Arabidopsis thaliana: one gene and its partner. The protein of the gene in region 1 interacts with the protein of each later gene in a pairwise test. Each region holds a gene or a part of one and is shown in the gene's direction. Other genes may lie near its edges.

Evidence for each region. The genes of interacting proteins can lie anywhere in the genome.
Region 2: the proteins of AT4G30410 (region 1) and AT3G57800 interact in binary tests that used the Arabidopsis thaliana proteins (3 or more experiments, as listed by UniProt).

What each region holds. Positions count from the first base shown.
Region 1 is NC_003075.7:14,869,195-14,876,135, reverse strand, and holds AT4G30410 (sequence-specific DNA binding transcription factor), read left to right. Parts: upstream 1-3,868; 5' UTR 3,869-4,284; coding exon 4,285-4,827; 3' UTR 4,828-5,152; downstream 5,153-6,941. UniProt on the Arabidopsis thaliana protein: Functions redundandly with IBH1/BHLH158 in a regulation node known as the incoherent feed-forward loop (FFL).
Region 2 is NC_003074.8:21,405,080-21,414,647, reverse strand, and holds AT3G57800 (basic helix-loop-helix (bHLH) DNA-binding superfamily protein), read left to right. Parts: upstream 1-3,035; 5' UTR 3,036-3,326; coding exon 3,327-3,872; intron 3,873-3,944; coding exon 3,945-4,058; intron 4,059-4,149; coding exon 4,150-4,215; intron 4,216-4,711; coding exon 4,712-4,807; intron 4,808-5,077; coding exon 5,078-5,122; intron 5,123-5,352; coding exon 5,353-5,421; intron 5,422-5,569; coding exon 5,570-5,641; intron 5,642-6,052; exon of another isoform or gene 6,053-6,247; intron 6,248-6,341; coding exon 6,342-6,614; 3' UTR 6,615-6,859; downstream 6,860-9,568. Other genes in the region: AT3G57790 (Pectin lyase-like superfamily protein), read left to right, coding at 7,560-8,152, 8,309-8,640, 8,714-9,261; AT3G57787 (uncharacterized protein), read right to left, coding at 9,415-9,568; AT3G57785 (ESSS subunit of NADH:ubiquinone oxidoreductase (complex I) protein), read left to right, coding at 9,469-9,568.

The sequences.
Region 1 (6,941 bases):
TATATACTATTGAAAACTTTTGAAACATTATAAAAACTTGTTATATGGTTGATTTCATATACCTACTACAATCGCTATTGTCGACAAATATAGCATTTATAAACTATGGTGGCTAAATCAATCAGTTTGTTTTAATACCACTAACAATTTGTTAATCAAAATCAGATGTGGCTACTTGAAACTGTCTACGCCATTCAAGAAAACTACAGCTTCTTTCTGTTAATGTAAATTTGATTAACTACAGCTTCTTTTTGTTAATGTTCGAGGTTAAAATCAAAATTTTGGATCTTAGTACAAGAAATCTGATAATCTTAAACATGACAGCTCTTTCCACACTTGGTCTTAGTACAGACAAGTGAGTCCATGAGTTAGCACTAATTTCTTGTTTTAAATTAATTGTATATTTGTTTGATCAATTTATATTAGTTGTAGTGCAGGTATTTATTTAATATTATCGATCTAATAAGAATATCTGCTACTACAGATCTAGAAGATGAACTAAAATAACACTCTAATGCAATCGTAATGCTTCACCCCAAATGGCCGTTCAATTAATATATTTCTCAACCTTCGTTTTTTGTTAAATTTGGTGAAAACAATTATCAACGACACTAATATCATTGTATAATTTTCAATTAACACACTTCCTCTTTGTCAAAATAGACGATATTTAGCTAGAACTTCATCGTTTCACATTGATCATTTCTTGGTGCAGAGAGGGAGTCTTAAACAACATTATGAGAGATGTTAATTAGAGTCTTCTTTTCTAGCTCCTGATTTCAAATGCAGAAAACCAAAAGGGAAAAATCAGCCATGTGTTTGAATTCAAAGAGGACAATGAGGATGCCTTGGACAGATCTGGCTGAATCATCAGAAAATATGAAGAAGTAATGAGTAAAACAATGATGGGTAAAACTTTGATTATTCACAATTGGCACCCTATCAAAACATCTGCTTCCTCTAAAGTAACTATGAATAGCTCCATTAAGGAACTTAATTAGAGCATATATATAATGACAGTCCAAAATAAAGTCTCCCTCTTGTAGTATTAAATGTCTTAGCTATATGAACTTAACGAAAGAAACTTCCCATGTGAAAACACCCACTCCTCCAACGTCACTAATTAATTAGCAACTAGCACAATTATTAATCACAATTCATTTTTCTCTCTCCATGTTATGCACTAATGAATCTTGTTTTAGCATGTTTCACATTGATTGTTCGGGTTGTTACCATTTTAAATAATGATATGTTTCAATTCACAATTTCATATAGATGACTTATGTACGCAACTATGCATTTTCATATTTTATTCTTAAAAAAGTATCGGTTCGTAGTAAAGTCTGAATTAAGTTTTTTACTTTTGTCCTTGGAAGAGTACGGAAGAAGACACTAATCTACCCTTGATTTAAGGAGACAAACATATCATTAAAAGGAGATTATGTTTATTGATTTTAGATTATACCCTAAACATTATCCAATTAAAATAAAAACAGTTACTTTAATTGACTTTTAGGCTGTATCGGTCGTAGACTCGTAGATAGCAGTAGATACCATGAAACTGAAGCTAATCCACTCACCATTCCGTCGGTTCTTCTACCTTTTTAACTTCAAATTATTTCACATGGCCTACACATAGACTATAGTATACATTTATCTAAGACCATGCGTTATATGATTATGATAAGAATGGAGCTCGTAAATAGTATATCAGATAAAGTTGAATGAAAAAAATAGTTGATCGGTAAAATAATATTATACTTGATTAATTGAAACATATATTGAGGATAAGCTAGAGTTACCATTTCCTATAACTATTCTACTTAGATTAGTACTCTTCGTATGAATCATATGTTACATTTTATATACACTTTGATAAAACTATTTGTTTTACATATAATTCTGTTTTGCATCAATGGACTCTCACTATTGCATCTTGTGAACTCGTCTGTTTTATTCCCCATGATGAGTGATGAAACCATCAGCCACGCCACCAATGATCTCAAACATTATTTTTATATTATAGTTACATCTGTCAACACTCAACAGTAACATCAATGTATTGTTCTGCAATGTCATCTCACATATCTTTTGCAAATTCAAAAAGTACGAGATATCTCTCTGTAGATCAAGACCATTTGGTGTTCTTTGATTCAAGACACTAGAAACAATTTGATTGTACTATAAATCCTCAATTTTTGGAAGTTTATCAACTGTTAGGACAATCGACCTGTCAGTAAATCTGAATTTCTTATATGATAGTAAATGATTTTAAAACATATCACAGCCGTCAATCAGAGAGACTGTGAGAGTCACCGTTGAAAATCACTCTTTGGTGAGTGAAAAAATGTAAAAGTAAAAGAACCAATGGGTAAGGGTCCCTCCACGTGTGCACATGCGCTTCGGTGGACGCGTGCATGCAAGAGTGTTGCCACATTAACGACGTCGTAGAATGTGATTAAGGGCACAAAACATTTTAATCAAAGAAAATTTGACTGATGGTGACGACAATGAGATGGTGGGCGTGTAGAGTTCGGAGAATGATTGTTGAGATTCCCGTAAATTACGGAGGTCCATTGGAAAACAAATCCCCGCACCAGAAGATCCATGTTCGATGTATTTTGTTGGAGAAAAAAAGCTAATTTTAATATCAAAAATATTTCTCTTTCGATAGTTGTATATATTTATCGAACATCAACTTTTATATTCATGTACATCTATCAATATCATTTTTTCGTTTTCTGAATTAAATTGACCAATATAAATGAATTATTATTGTTTCTTTTTCCTTTTTATCAACAATTATTATTGTTTCTTTTTTTCTTTTTCAAAACCAGGCTTTCCCAAAGTTTGCGGATCGCCACGTTTTAACCACTAACACCATATTGATGTTATTTGTTGTATGTGTATAAAAAAAGTTATGGCACAGTTAATGTGTTGACCATGCTTTTCATATTTGATACCTAGTTGTGAATGTATCACTGTGAAGCATCAAAAAGAAGATGAAATAATGCACCGTATAACCAAGGTGTGCACTGTGCAATGCAATGCATCATAAATTTCTCAAATTCTGTTTTTTGTATGTAAATTATTGACGTATAATGGTAAATATGATTAATAGATTCACTCATTGTTCGACAATAATCAAACTGAATATTGCTCGATAATAACTGAACATATTACATTAACAAATTACGCACTCACAATCGTCAGAACCAGCCATTATTCTCAGCTATACATTCTATATCATTTGTTATCTTTTTATAACCTTAGGTGATTTAGGTGATCCAGGTCACGGTAAGTATATATAGATTATAAACTTTTATGGAAGACTGATGACTCAATCTACAACATTGGAGAACCACAACTTTTTAATCTATACTTTACGTTCTTTAACATTTAAATTTCAAAACTGAGATGGACTTTTTTAGTTATTATATATGTTCTAACTAAGTAATGACACCAATTCAAAGATAATCTAGATTATTTAGCGTGCTTATATAGGCCTTTATTTGCTTGGCGACAGCGCTGACTGATAAGGTTGTCAGATAGAGAATTACATGTTAAATCAAATATGTGAACATACATTACATACATATATATACGAGTGATGAGATCATTATATATCACGGATTCACGGAGTGTGAAAAAAAAAACCAAATGAAGCTACGCAGTTGACAGAAAACAAACGAAAGATACACAAAAAATGTTTTTTTTTTCATAAAATCCTCATAATTGCAAAACTTAAAACATCAAAACGTATATATATCATCACAAATTTTCGGCGGAAACAAATAATAATGGACAAAAGTTTCCTAAATTATAGGGTAATACAAAAGGGTACGTGGGCCATTCGTAGCATGTGCATGCATGTGCTTCTCCTATCTCCTATTGCCCCCACCATTTTCCCTCTCCTTTTGAAACAATTAAAATGGACCCTTTCCTTCTCCTTTCTCTCTCCCTTACCTCTCTGTCTCTTTCCCTCTCTCTCGTCGAATTCACGAATTCGTGAGGTGACCGCAGATTTGTTCTTAGCAATCTTTGACGACACTAGAAGTAAACAAATTCTTAAAAAGGTATGTGTTCATGTCTCTTCTGGTTATAATAAGGAACCCTAAACGGGGAAAAAATCCAGTTTGGTTATGATTTGATGTATATTAGTATATTACATACATGTATCCCTTTGATGTATAAAGACATCATGGTTTATTACTTAGGATTAACTTACTTTTTCTTGAAAAATGACTCATAATTGAGTATATTTCTACTTGATTAGGATTTAGGATGCAGCCTACGAGCTCAATGAATGAAGAATTCCTAAAGAAATGGCAAATGGGTCTTCAAATATTCCGTCCTTCGATAGACAACACGAGCGTCCACGAGAGAAAAAAAGCAATAAAGCTCTCTGCAGACGTTGCAATGGCGTCTCTAAGAAAAGGAACAACTTGTTGGAGCCGAGCCCTAATCGAGAAAACCGCCACCGAGGACAATTTCCTCGTACGTCAGATGCTTTCCGGCATCAAAGCGGAAACGTTAATCAACAAGAAGTTGCCTAAGAAGACTGTGTGTCATAGGAAGATCGTGAGGCGAAGCAAGAAGATCTTGAGGAGGAAATCGAAATCAGCGAGCGAAGAGGCTGCAGCAAAAGCTAAGAGACTCGTCAAGAGACGGACTCAAGGATTAAGAAACGTTGTACCTGGTGGTGAGTTGATGAGCAATGACGTCTTGTTGCTTCAAGAAACGTTAGATTACATTGTGTCGCTTCAAACGCAAGTAAATGTTATGAGAAGTATTGTTGATGCTGCCGAGGCCGAAATTGAGAGATAAATGATAAAAAAAAATCTTGTTTTATTTTTTTATCTGCGGAGATTAGTTGCGAAAGCATGATGTCGATCGGATCTTGTTGTTGGTCATTAGAACCGTATGTTATTCGGACAATGCAATTGTCATACGAGGATGGAGAGATATTATAGTAAGCCATTTTGTACATAAGGAAATTTATACAATGCTTATAGAAAGTTTCTGCTACGTGATGGTGGTTTTTATTGGAACATTTCTTGGCAAATTTTTATTTTTTTTGAATTTAATTTAGTTAATGTGAGTGAATTTTAAGATATTTTTAACGCTTCGATTGCTTTTCTTGGCATGTTTTTATTTGAGAGAAAAAAATAGACAAATGTTATTTTATATTATAGATATCTGGTTCAGTTTTATTACAACTCACTCGTATTGGATAGCTCATTTGACATGTCAACCCAAAACAAATGATATATACTAGCTCATGTGAGTTTTTTTTCTGTTTTTTTTTTTCAGATTTTCAATGTTAATTAGCTCATATGAGTTGTCCAATATATATTTGACTCTTTGCTTATGTTTTTTTTTGGGTTAAAGACTTGGTTTGAAAGGATAGTACTAGTCTACTAGAACAAAACAACCAATAAGACAGCACGTGTAAAAATCAGTCTTTTTCGTATATACTCCATGTTTCATCAATCAGCATCATTTAGTATTCAGCTAAGGAAGAAGACGCTTAATGGCAACGAGGAAAAAAAAAACGTACATATTCACGTTCATTTTTTTCCTAGCTAAATTAATTAACACCGTTCAAAGATATATTATTTTGTCTCATGAAAGCTATGCCTCCCACCGATGGTATTTATCCATTTATATGTGCATCTATGTACATATGATTAATGATTCTCACTTCTCAGTTAGATCTGCATTCATTTTTGTTTGAACAAATTCTTATTAAAAAAAAAATCTTATTTGCCACGTACTTTATATGTTAGATCATGTAACAAAGGGGTATTTTCGATTTTTTCTGTATGTGGTCTAAACTGCAAGTTCTATTGACAACAACCCCAATGGTTTTTCTGTAACAGCTAACTTGCCAACATTTTCTTTGGAGATTATTAGAAGGAAAAAAACGAAAAAAAAATACCAATATAATATTACACATTTTGAGAAACTTGTTTATGTTCTGTTAGGCCCAGCCCAGTTTGTTATTAATTGGACTCGTAAATGGTTTGTTTAATAACAGTTGGACTCTTGTTAACCAGTCAAATGTCCACACAAACTAAAGGGAAAGAACTCAAGAAGTGAATGAAAGAGAGACAACACGGCGTTGCCCTTTATTTTATCTTAAAACGACATGTAGTCTTCCCTTATTAATGTCTTGACTCTTGAGAAATTGTGAGTTTGACTTATGTGACTTTATTTTTGGCTGTAGAATTGTCGAGGAGCAAGGAAATTATTAAGTAGAAGCGACTTATAATTTTAAAGGTTAGTCAAACATTAGGATTTAGGAGAAAGTTGTCTCAAACTATTTGTGGAACTTAACCCTTTTTCAAAAAAAATCATTTGGGGAACTATCTAAGAATTTTAAAGTCAAACAGAAATTGAATGTTATAGCTTACAAGAAATCATGTCATATTCTCATACATATTAAAGGAGTGTTACAAAAAAGGTTTATTTTCATTTTAAAATCCAAACTCTTATGCAATAATGCAAATGCACCATTTATACATAGAAATAAACGGCTTTGAGTATACGATAATTCTAGCATATGGTCCAAGCTAGAATCAAGAATCACTTTCACAAAAAAATTGTATACCACTATAACCGATAGAGACACCCTATGTGGTAAAAATTTCGTATTATCTTTTAGTGTATATTTTCTTTGATTTTTGACCTATTCCTATAGGGATGAATAAACTTTTGGTCGCAAAATTGGGATGAATTAACTTTGCACATAAACCAATGTTATTAACGTTATAAAATTACATGTAAGTTGTCACGCAATAAAGACTAAGTGACTAGTGGGCATGTAATCCAACTGCTTCCATGCCCGTTATTAATTCACCCATTAATGCAAAACTTTAGCCATTCAACATTTAAATACATACATACATGTATACAACATATCGCACAAGAATCAAGAT
Region 2 (9,568 bases), on another chromosome or scaffold:
ATTACCTATAACGTATTTACTATTTACTATTACACAACACTGTATCAGTATCGATCATTGTGCCAAATATGTATATACATGTACGTGTATTTAAATGTACGACGAATTCTATACGTGTAAACGTATAACGTAGAAAATTTAGAGACGTCTCCTTCGTAATCATTTAAGTATATATATATATATACACTTGGACAGTTCAATGTTATTGACGATTTATAATCATTACGACGCTAACCAAATTTAGCACTGGACTTAGACTTCTTATTTTGGGAGGTGAAGTGCATTCATGATGTTTGATATGTTTCAAAATATTATACGACTAAATAATCCAAACAATCTTTTGATGAAAATAAAAATGTTATAGTTGACGATAGAAACGAGCAATGCTTCATATAACGTGGAACAATTGCATTACATAGACAATTGCTTGTGGACATTCGTACTCTACATAAAATTAGTCGAAGTTAGCAAAATTCACCTAAGATATTGAATCGTTTGTGATACATTGCTTCTTCCTTTTGGGGGTTTGATATTAAATGCTTTTACAACTATATTTCCATTGACAATCTACCTTTATAATGATTATTAGCTAAACCAACTTACAAACAACGTTTTGACAACCATAATTGTTATGCACTTTTCAATAGTCTTAACTCTGCTTACGGATGTCGTTTGCTCAGCAATTTGGGAAATGGGAATAACTCATATAAAGAGATATGTGTGTTGTTGTGTGGATCCCATGCATGTCAGGTTTGTAACAGCTGTCGAATAATGCAAGCTACATAGAAAAATAAAACATTTTCATTAAAACACAAAAAGAAGAAGGTTAGAGAGAGCTATTCATTTATTCATCGAAACATTTTAATATGGGAAGAAGGGAATTCCCACACCACTCCACTACGAAGAGAGGCTTCTTGGGCCAGTGTCACGTGATTAACACGCGGATCCAGACCCACTCATATATAAACGAATTATCTATAATATTTTCTAAACATATTTCTTTATTCATCGCACATTTTTTTTTTTCATGCTTCACGTATACATCCGAAAAATCTTTGTGGTCTCGCCCATATCTATCCTTTTAAATCCATCATGATCCCAATGTGATACGTTAATAAGACCATCTGCAATGGTTGTCTCTATTTTTTTTTTGTAAATATAGAAGAGAAAATAGAGATTTCTATTTTTACTCCAATAATTCTTCAAAAATAGAAATCTCTATTTGTTAGAAAGAAAAATAGGGGAAAAAAATAGAGATCCATATTTTTGTTTCTATATATAGAGAAAAAAATAGAGATCTCTATAATGGAAGTGAGAATAGAGATGAGTTGGAGTGTAATAAAAGCAAAAATAGAGTGTAGAGACAAAAATAGAGATGTGTTGGAGATGCCGTAAGTATTGTGAAGATAATCCTCACAGCTTTCTCAGCAATAAAAGAAAATATATCTCTTTAATTTTTTATAAAGGTTTTATGTGTGAATATTAAAAACTTTAGTCTCATATGAGTTCGAGACTGTGCTCGGGAACAAATTTTATAAAGATAAATCATCTAAAATTGAACTGCGTTTATAATGGCAAAGACTTTGCATAATTAGAATGTTTCTTATTGATAAAGACTTTGCATGTTTCATACTCATTTTGACATCTAATTGAATAAAAACAGAAAAGAGCCGTATAGCTTCAAAATCTTTATATTTAGAATAAAGTGTATATATGTGAAAGAGTAACACATATGTACGTAGGAATTAGGTTGGTTAAAGAATTGGCCACATCAATATCTGAGACACCAAAGAAGTAATGGACGTTGGGAGAGTAAGTAACGTTGCCAAATTGGAAATGCCAAAAAAAGATTGTACCTTTCCTCTCTTTGATTGAGACTTTACTACTACACCAAACCTTACATCACCAATCGCTGAAAGTGAAACCGATATTTTAGCACATTTATATTCCACTTCTACACCTTTTTACTAAATTTCAGTTTTGAGATTTACTTACATGAAGAAGAAATTGGCTAATCAAAATAATCAAGCAACGATGATTTGTTGCAATGAAATGGAAATTGGGATTTGGGCTCAGATTATTAGAGCATAAGTGGATTTCCTGTTCGGCCCATTGTGTGAAACAGGTTATTCCACTGGACCCATCTGTTCATCTTTGTCCTCAAATTTTCCTCTCTATCCCCAAAACACCCTTTTAAAGAAGTAACATTAATTGTTTTTTTTTTTCCTTTTAATAAATTTATAAGATATTTTGAATTAATATTATTAGTACGTCTCAATTTTTATTTTATTTTTGCCTTTTATACTCTAAAGTTTTTAATACTTGATGAATTTTGAATATTTTTAAAAAATAAAAAAAATAAAATATTTTTAAAAAATTAATATTACGCTTGGTAGATTTCATCCAACGGCTGAGATAATTACTAAAATGGTGTTTTGAGCTCAATTATTTTTCCATATTAAAAAGTGTTTTTGGTTCTTGGTTATTTACAGGTCAACAAAATAATTTGACACCGGAATCGGAGTCCGTGGAAAGTCAGAAAACCTGATGTAACACCATTTATGGCATTAACTACTGATAATAATACTATACGAAAATCCAATTATTATACCGAGAAAAAAAGAAAAGTGGTCAGAGACAGCAGGCTGGTCCTGCTGAAGAATAAATCTAATCTACCGATTCGATTAAATAAATATGTGCCGTTTTCTGGTACGCCCTATTCAAATCATTTTTATATTATAGTATCAAAATACTTCAAAAATTTACTAATTACAAAATTAAGGAGTGATAAAAAAAGTTTATAATCAGAGATAAAAAGTCACCGGTTAAAGCCCAAAAGGCCCAAGTAATATCCATTGGGATCCAGCAAAATATATAACAAAAGAACCGTACCGTACCTACAATAACCAAAATTGGTTTTCTCTTTCTTTTGTCTAACAGTGGCCTTTATTTAACAGACGCACTCCACTGCTAACGTTGCTTTCGTCCTACTCTTCTTCTGGTGTAAAAGCTTTTCTTCCACACACATTTGAGAAAGAAGACGAAGAAGAAGAGAGAATAACTATTCCTTCTTCGCCAAGTTCTCTGAGCTATAGAAGAAGGAGGGATTTCTTCAGACCGCCATTGTTGCCCACCTTCTCTCCTTTCTATTTTTCGCCGCATTTTACTCGCTTACTGACAAAAGTCTTCTACTCAAGTCTCTCTCTCGCTCTCTTTGGAGGCTCAATTAGGGTTTTGTTGTCGTGAGATTTGATTACACAAATTGCTGAATTTGGTTTCGATTATTGGTGTTATTGTTTTCGAAGATTTCCAGTGAGTTTCCGTTTATGGATCTGACTGGAGGATTTGGAGCTAGATCCGGCGGTGTTGGACCGTGCCGGGAACCAATAGGCCTTGAATCGCTACATCTCGGTGACGAATTTCGGCAACTAGTGACGACTTTACCTCCCGAGAACCCCGGCGGTTCGTTCACGGCTTTGCTTGAGCTTCCACCTACACAAGCAGTGGAGCTTCTCCATTTCACTGATTCTTCGTCTTCTCAACAAGCGGCAGTGACAGGGATCGGTGGAGAGATTCCTCCGCCGCTTCACTCTTTCGGTGGGACATTGGCTTTTCCTTCTAACTCAGTTCTCATGGAGCGAGCAGCTCGTTTCTCGGTGATTGCCACTGAGCAACAAAACGGAAATATCTCCGGGGAGACTCCGACGAGCTCTGTACCTTCCAATTCAAGTGCTAATCTCGACAGAGTCAAGACGGAGCCTGCTGAGACCGATTCATCTCAGCGGTTGATTTCTGATTCAGCGATTGAGAATCAAATCCCTTGCCCTAACCAGAACAATCGAAATGGGAAGAGGAAAGATTTCGAAAAGAAGGTTAGAGTGAGAGACAAATGTTTTTACTTTTTTACATTTGATCCTTCGTTTCATCAGATTGATTTTTTATAGGGTAAAAGCTCGACGAAGAAGAACAAAAGCTCTGAAGAGAACGAGAAGCTGCCATATGTTCACGTTAGAGCTCGTCGTGGTCAAGCAACCGATAGCCATAGCTTAGCAGAACGAGTAACTTGCATCTGCCTTCACTAATTTTTCTTTTTTTTGGTATTAATCAGTTGATTAATTCGCTAATTGATCACTAATTTTTGGATTATAGGCAAGAAGAGAGAAGATAAATGCACGAATGAAGCTGTTACAGGAACTGGTCCCAGGCTGTGATAAGGTTTGTCTCTTAGATATAGACGTGTAATCAATTTGTTAATCAATCATTAGGTCTTCATTTGTGATTAACGACATTATATTTCTCTAATTGATTCACTCCAAAAGTAAGAATTTATTATTAGATGATCTAGTCTTTTTGTTAAGGGTCTTAATCCTTCACACCTACTTTTTTTTTTCTTCCTAAAAAGTGGATTGCTTAATTGCTTTTTTATTAAGAAAAGTGGTTCCTGGTGTGCCAAAGTAGCCAGTTGGGTAATTGTGTAGTAATGCCTTTAGAGATCTCAACTTTATTTTTTTATTTCGTGTGGGGAGAAATATCTCACGGGTACACACTTAGCTTTAAGGTTAACTCAGTCACACGGAAGTGATAGGACCTTGCTTTATCGAATTCTTTTTCCATAAGTGTGTTCGTTGAGCTTGAAGATTAGTCTATAAATGACGAGAATGACCTTAGGAAGTGTGCTAGCTGTAATATGCCATTAAGGTTTTGGGTTTAGGGGACAGATTTTGGTGGAAAGATCAAGATCAAAGTGTGTTTTGGGGTCCATCTTTTGATGATAAGTGGGAAAAAAGTTGCAATCTTTCTATGGAAGGTGAGGAAGGGGTAGTATCGTCTCTAACAAGTTCGGTATCTATCAAGGAAAAATAGAAAATGACTCTTAGAAGGACGATTAAAGCAAATGATCCTTTACAAAAATTGATATGCTTTGAGTCCCACATACCTAATTAGTTGGAAACATGATGTGACACTCCCCCAGACAGCTAATTAATCATCCCTGATGTTAGAAGTTAGCAGCAATTATTGGTGTGATAGAGATGATGATATGGAACATCAGTGTTTGTTTAAAATTTGGATTCTATAGGTGAGCTGTGAGGACTTGATTGATTGTTCCTTTAGCCCCCCTAGGGTATACTGATTACTTGTGATTGTAGTAGATACCATTTATTATAATAGCTTTAGATTAGCACGTCATTCTCTTGCTGCTTTTTTCACTGTGTATTTTGGAATCTTGGTATTTTCTCGTTGAAATATTGGATCATCTTAACAATAGTTAGCTGTCTAGAAAGAATTTTTGGTATGTGAAAGCAGATCTACCTAATATGAATCCGAGCTTATCAGAAAGTCTTTGACCTGCAGATTCAAGGTACCGCGCTGGTGCTGGATGAAATCATTAACCATGTCCAGTCATTACAACGTCAAGTGGAGGTGAGACTTTCCGTGGTCCAATTTTTGTTCTTTATACCTATATTTTACAATAGCCCTGGGCACAATAAAAGGGTCAACTCAAAACAATTTGAAAATGAATAGAATTATGTGCCGCAATCTCATGAAACTGTGACTTGTGTTTCCACAGATGCTATCAATGAGACTTGCTGCGGTAAACCCCAGAATCGACTTCAATCTCGACACCATATTGGCTTCAGAAGTAAGTATCAAAATCTCAAACAATAATTTGGTCATTCTGATTAGTCTTCTCTAGGAAAAATTTAACCATTTCATGTGTTTCTCATTTAAGTTAACCATACCTCTTTGAGTAGCTTCTAGTTTCTATCACAAAAGGAGAAACTTTTGGGGTATTTATTGATACAAACATTAATTTAGACCATTTTAGTGTAAGGCATAGGAAGATCACAACGTCTACTCTCATGAAGGAAACTCAGGGAAAAATAAATACACAACACACACACACACCCAATGCAAATAACAGTAGTGGGTCAAAACTCGGACCACCTTTGTTCTGTAAAACCTTTCTGTGTCTTCTGTGACTTATGTCGGATGTGTTACTTGATGAACCTTTTAAAAAAAAAGTTAATTCATCCCTCAATAATTTCTGTGGGTCTCTTCCAAAATCTTGTTATTTCAAAGTGACCTATCTAATTTCATGATCACCTGTGGATTCTCATCAAAAGTTTTGGACCAAACTAAATAAATGCTCCCTCTCTCTTTCTTCTTACAGCTTGTACCACCATTAAATAGCCAGGGACCCTCTCATCAAACCTTGTTCTTTTAGGATAATAATAACACAGCAACAACAGTTGACTTCTTTGACTAGATCAAGATCTCTATGAATGATCCCTTTGCTGATATCTTTTCCGGTTTTGGCTCTGTGTTTTTTTCTTTGACAGAACGGTTCTTTAATGGATGGGAGCTTCAATGCCGCACCAATGCAGCTTGCTTGGCCTCAGCAAGCCATTGAGACCGAACAGTCCTTTCATCACCGGCAACTGCAACAACCACCAACACAACAATGGCCTTTTGACGGCTTGAACCAGCCGGTATGGGGAAGAGAAGAGGATCAAGCTCATGGCAATGATAACAGCAATTTGATGGCAGTTTCTGAAAATGTAATGGTGGCTTCTGCTAATTTGCACCCAAATCAGGTCAAAATGGAGCTGTAAGTTGGGAAAACGGTAGAGATCATGAATGTGTATATACATCGTATAAGCTCGTTTCTCTCTATATAAATATAATCATAAATATAGATATCTGTTAAGAAGGTATCAGTCATTTGATTCAGAGAGACAACACTGGTATGATTGTTTCTTATTCTTGTACCAGATTTCGACAATGTAGAATTTAGTAGGATATGATCATTTTGATCTCGTTATATATATCTTACTAATAATAAATAGAGATAAAAAAATTCTATTTAGGGAAATAAATCAGTATCGATAAACAAAAACAGAAAGAAGAAGCAGGGGCATCCTTTGGATATTGGAGTTGCACGAAAAAGAAGAAGCAAAAACAAAATGCAACTATATGTTTAGATTGTTTGAGCTGGACCAAGTGAAAATGCACCTCTTGAATTATGGTTTAGGTTAGGTAACAAAAAACCCTAAATTGACTCATTCGATAAGAACAGAGATGCAATCATAAATATGAGTGCAAAGCACGTTACCGGAAGCTGTGATGGCCTTGTTTGCGTCTACCGTATAGAAAGATTGATGTGTATCATCAATCCCGCCACTAGATGGTATCGATCTCTTCCTCAGCCTAAGATTCAACAAATTAACCGCCTTAGACGAAATCTACACGAGAGAAAGTTTCACTTTTTAATTCTTTTGCTTAATCAATTTGCTTAATCAATTTGCTCATATATGTTTACTTAAATTTTTGATGTTTTTGTAGTATTATTTCACTATTATTGTGCCTAATTAATTGTTTTTGTTTTTACAAACTCTCTCATAGCTTATTATTCTGCATCAAACTATCCAGGATTCGGTAAAGACACTACGATCCTCATAGAAGAGATCTGGAATTCTAGTTTCAGTTGTTTATCAATTCCAATAAAGTCTACACACATAGACATAGGATAAGATTATTATTAAGACCTTTAAAAAAAAATGATGGGAAGCATATTATTGTTACTATTATTCTTTTCTCTGGTCCAATCACGTTCAGACACGTCATATTCAAAAATTCAACTTCCCGGCGATTCTCTGACCCTCTCCGTTACCGATTTCGGTGCTACCGGCGATGGTATCAACTACGATACTTCTGCGATTCAGTCAACCATTGACGCCTGCAATCGTCACTACACATCTTTTTCTTCCATCTGCCGCGTCGTTTTCCCTTCCGGCAACTATTTGACCGCTAAGCTCCATCTCCGATCTGGCGTCATTCTCGATGTGACGGAGAACGCCGTGCTTCTCGGTGGACCGAGAATCGAGGATTATTATCCGGCGGAGACTTCGTCGGATTGGTACGTGGTGGTGGCGAATAACGCTACGGATGTTGGAATCACTGGCGGAGGAGCGATTGATGGCCAAGGATCGAAGTTCGTGGTCAGATTCGACGAGAAGAAGAACGTGATGGTGAGCTGGAACCAAACCGGAGCTTGCTTGGGTGATGAGTGTAGACCCAGGCTTGTTGGATTCGTTGATTCTATAAACGTTGAGATCTGGAACATCACACTACGAGAGCCTGCGTATTGGTGGTTAGTTTTGAAACTTCTGCTTTTCACAAAGAACTCTATGAACAAATTTGACTTTGTTTCACTATCTTAGATCGAAGATAAAGTAACTCTAGCTGAGAATTTAGGCTTCTGTGCTAAGTAATCTCTGATTTGATTATATACACACTCTCATTGCAGTTTGCACATTGTGAGATGTGAGAACACATCAGTCCATGATGTATCGATCCTTGGGGACTTCAATACTCCAAATAACGATGGAATCGACATTGAAGATTCCAACAACACTGTTATAACTCGGTGTCATATCGATACTGGAGATGATGCAATCTGTCCCAAGACTTACACTGGTCCACTTTACAACTTAACCGCTACAGACTGTTGGATCCGGACCAAATCCTCAGCCATTAAACTCGGTAGTGCGAGCTGGTTTGATTTCAAAGGTCTTGTCTTTGATAACATCACTATTTTTGAATCTCACAGAGGACTTGGCATGCAAATACGCGATGGAGGTAAACAAGTTTCTTCTTTTCTTTGGCTGCATACAACACAGAAACTTATGTAATGTAACCCGAATATGTGCAGGAAATGTGAGTGACGTTACATTTTCAAACATAAACATTAGTACAAGATACTACGATCCTTCTTGGTGGGGAAGAGCAGAACCAATCTATATAACAACTTGCCCTCGTGACTCATCTGCAAAGGAAGGCTCAATCTCGAATCTCCTATTCGTAAACATAACAATCGATTCCGAAAACGGAGTCTTTTTATCAGGTTCACCAAACGGACTACTCTCAGATATAAAGTTCAAGAACATGAACCTTACTTTCAGAAGATGGAGTAATTACAGTGCAGGGCTTGTGGACTATAGACCTGGATGTCAAGGTCTAGTGAACCATAGAGCCACGTCTGGAATCATTATGGAGCATGTGAACGGGTTTCGCGTTGAGAATGTTGACCTGAAATGGTCAGATGATGATGATGTGAATGCTGCTTGGAATGTTCCTCTCGAATTTAGACCTTCCACTGTGAATAATGTCTCGTTTGTTGGTTTCACTTCTGGTCTTTACACGAAATTGTTTGAGTCTGATTACGTTATGGTTGGTGAAAACAACATTGCTTTTGCTTAGTAAAGAGATTTTGGATTCTTATATTTCTTTGTGAGAGAATTGGAAATTTGGTTTTTGTTTTCTCCAAAATGACTACGTTGTGAATTGTGTGAGCACGAGTTCTCCAACGACACCGTTTTCAACAAGTAATTGTAGGTTTTCTCACACTAGAGTTTATTTACGTCTAATCATCAATATATCACTGAGAGTGAAATCGGAATCACAAAAATGGCGTCGACGAAGCCATTGATTGTCGCAGCGAAGACGCTCCGAAACCGGATCCACTTCCGATCTGGATCCACATCTACTGGTCCAAGCCGGTGGGCGA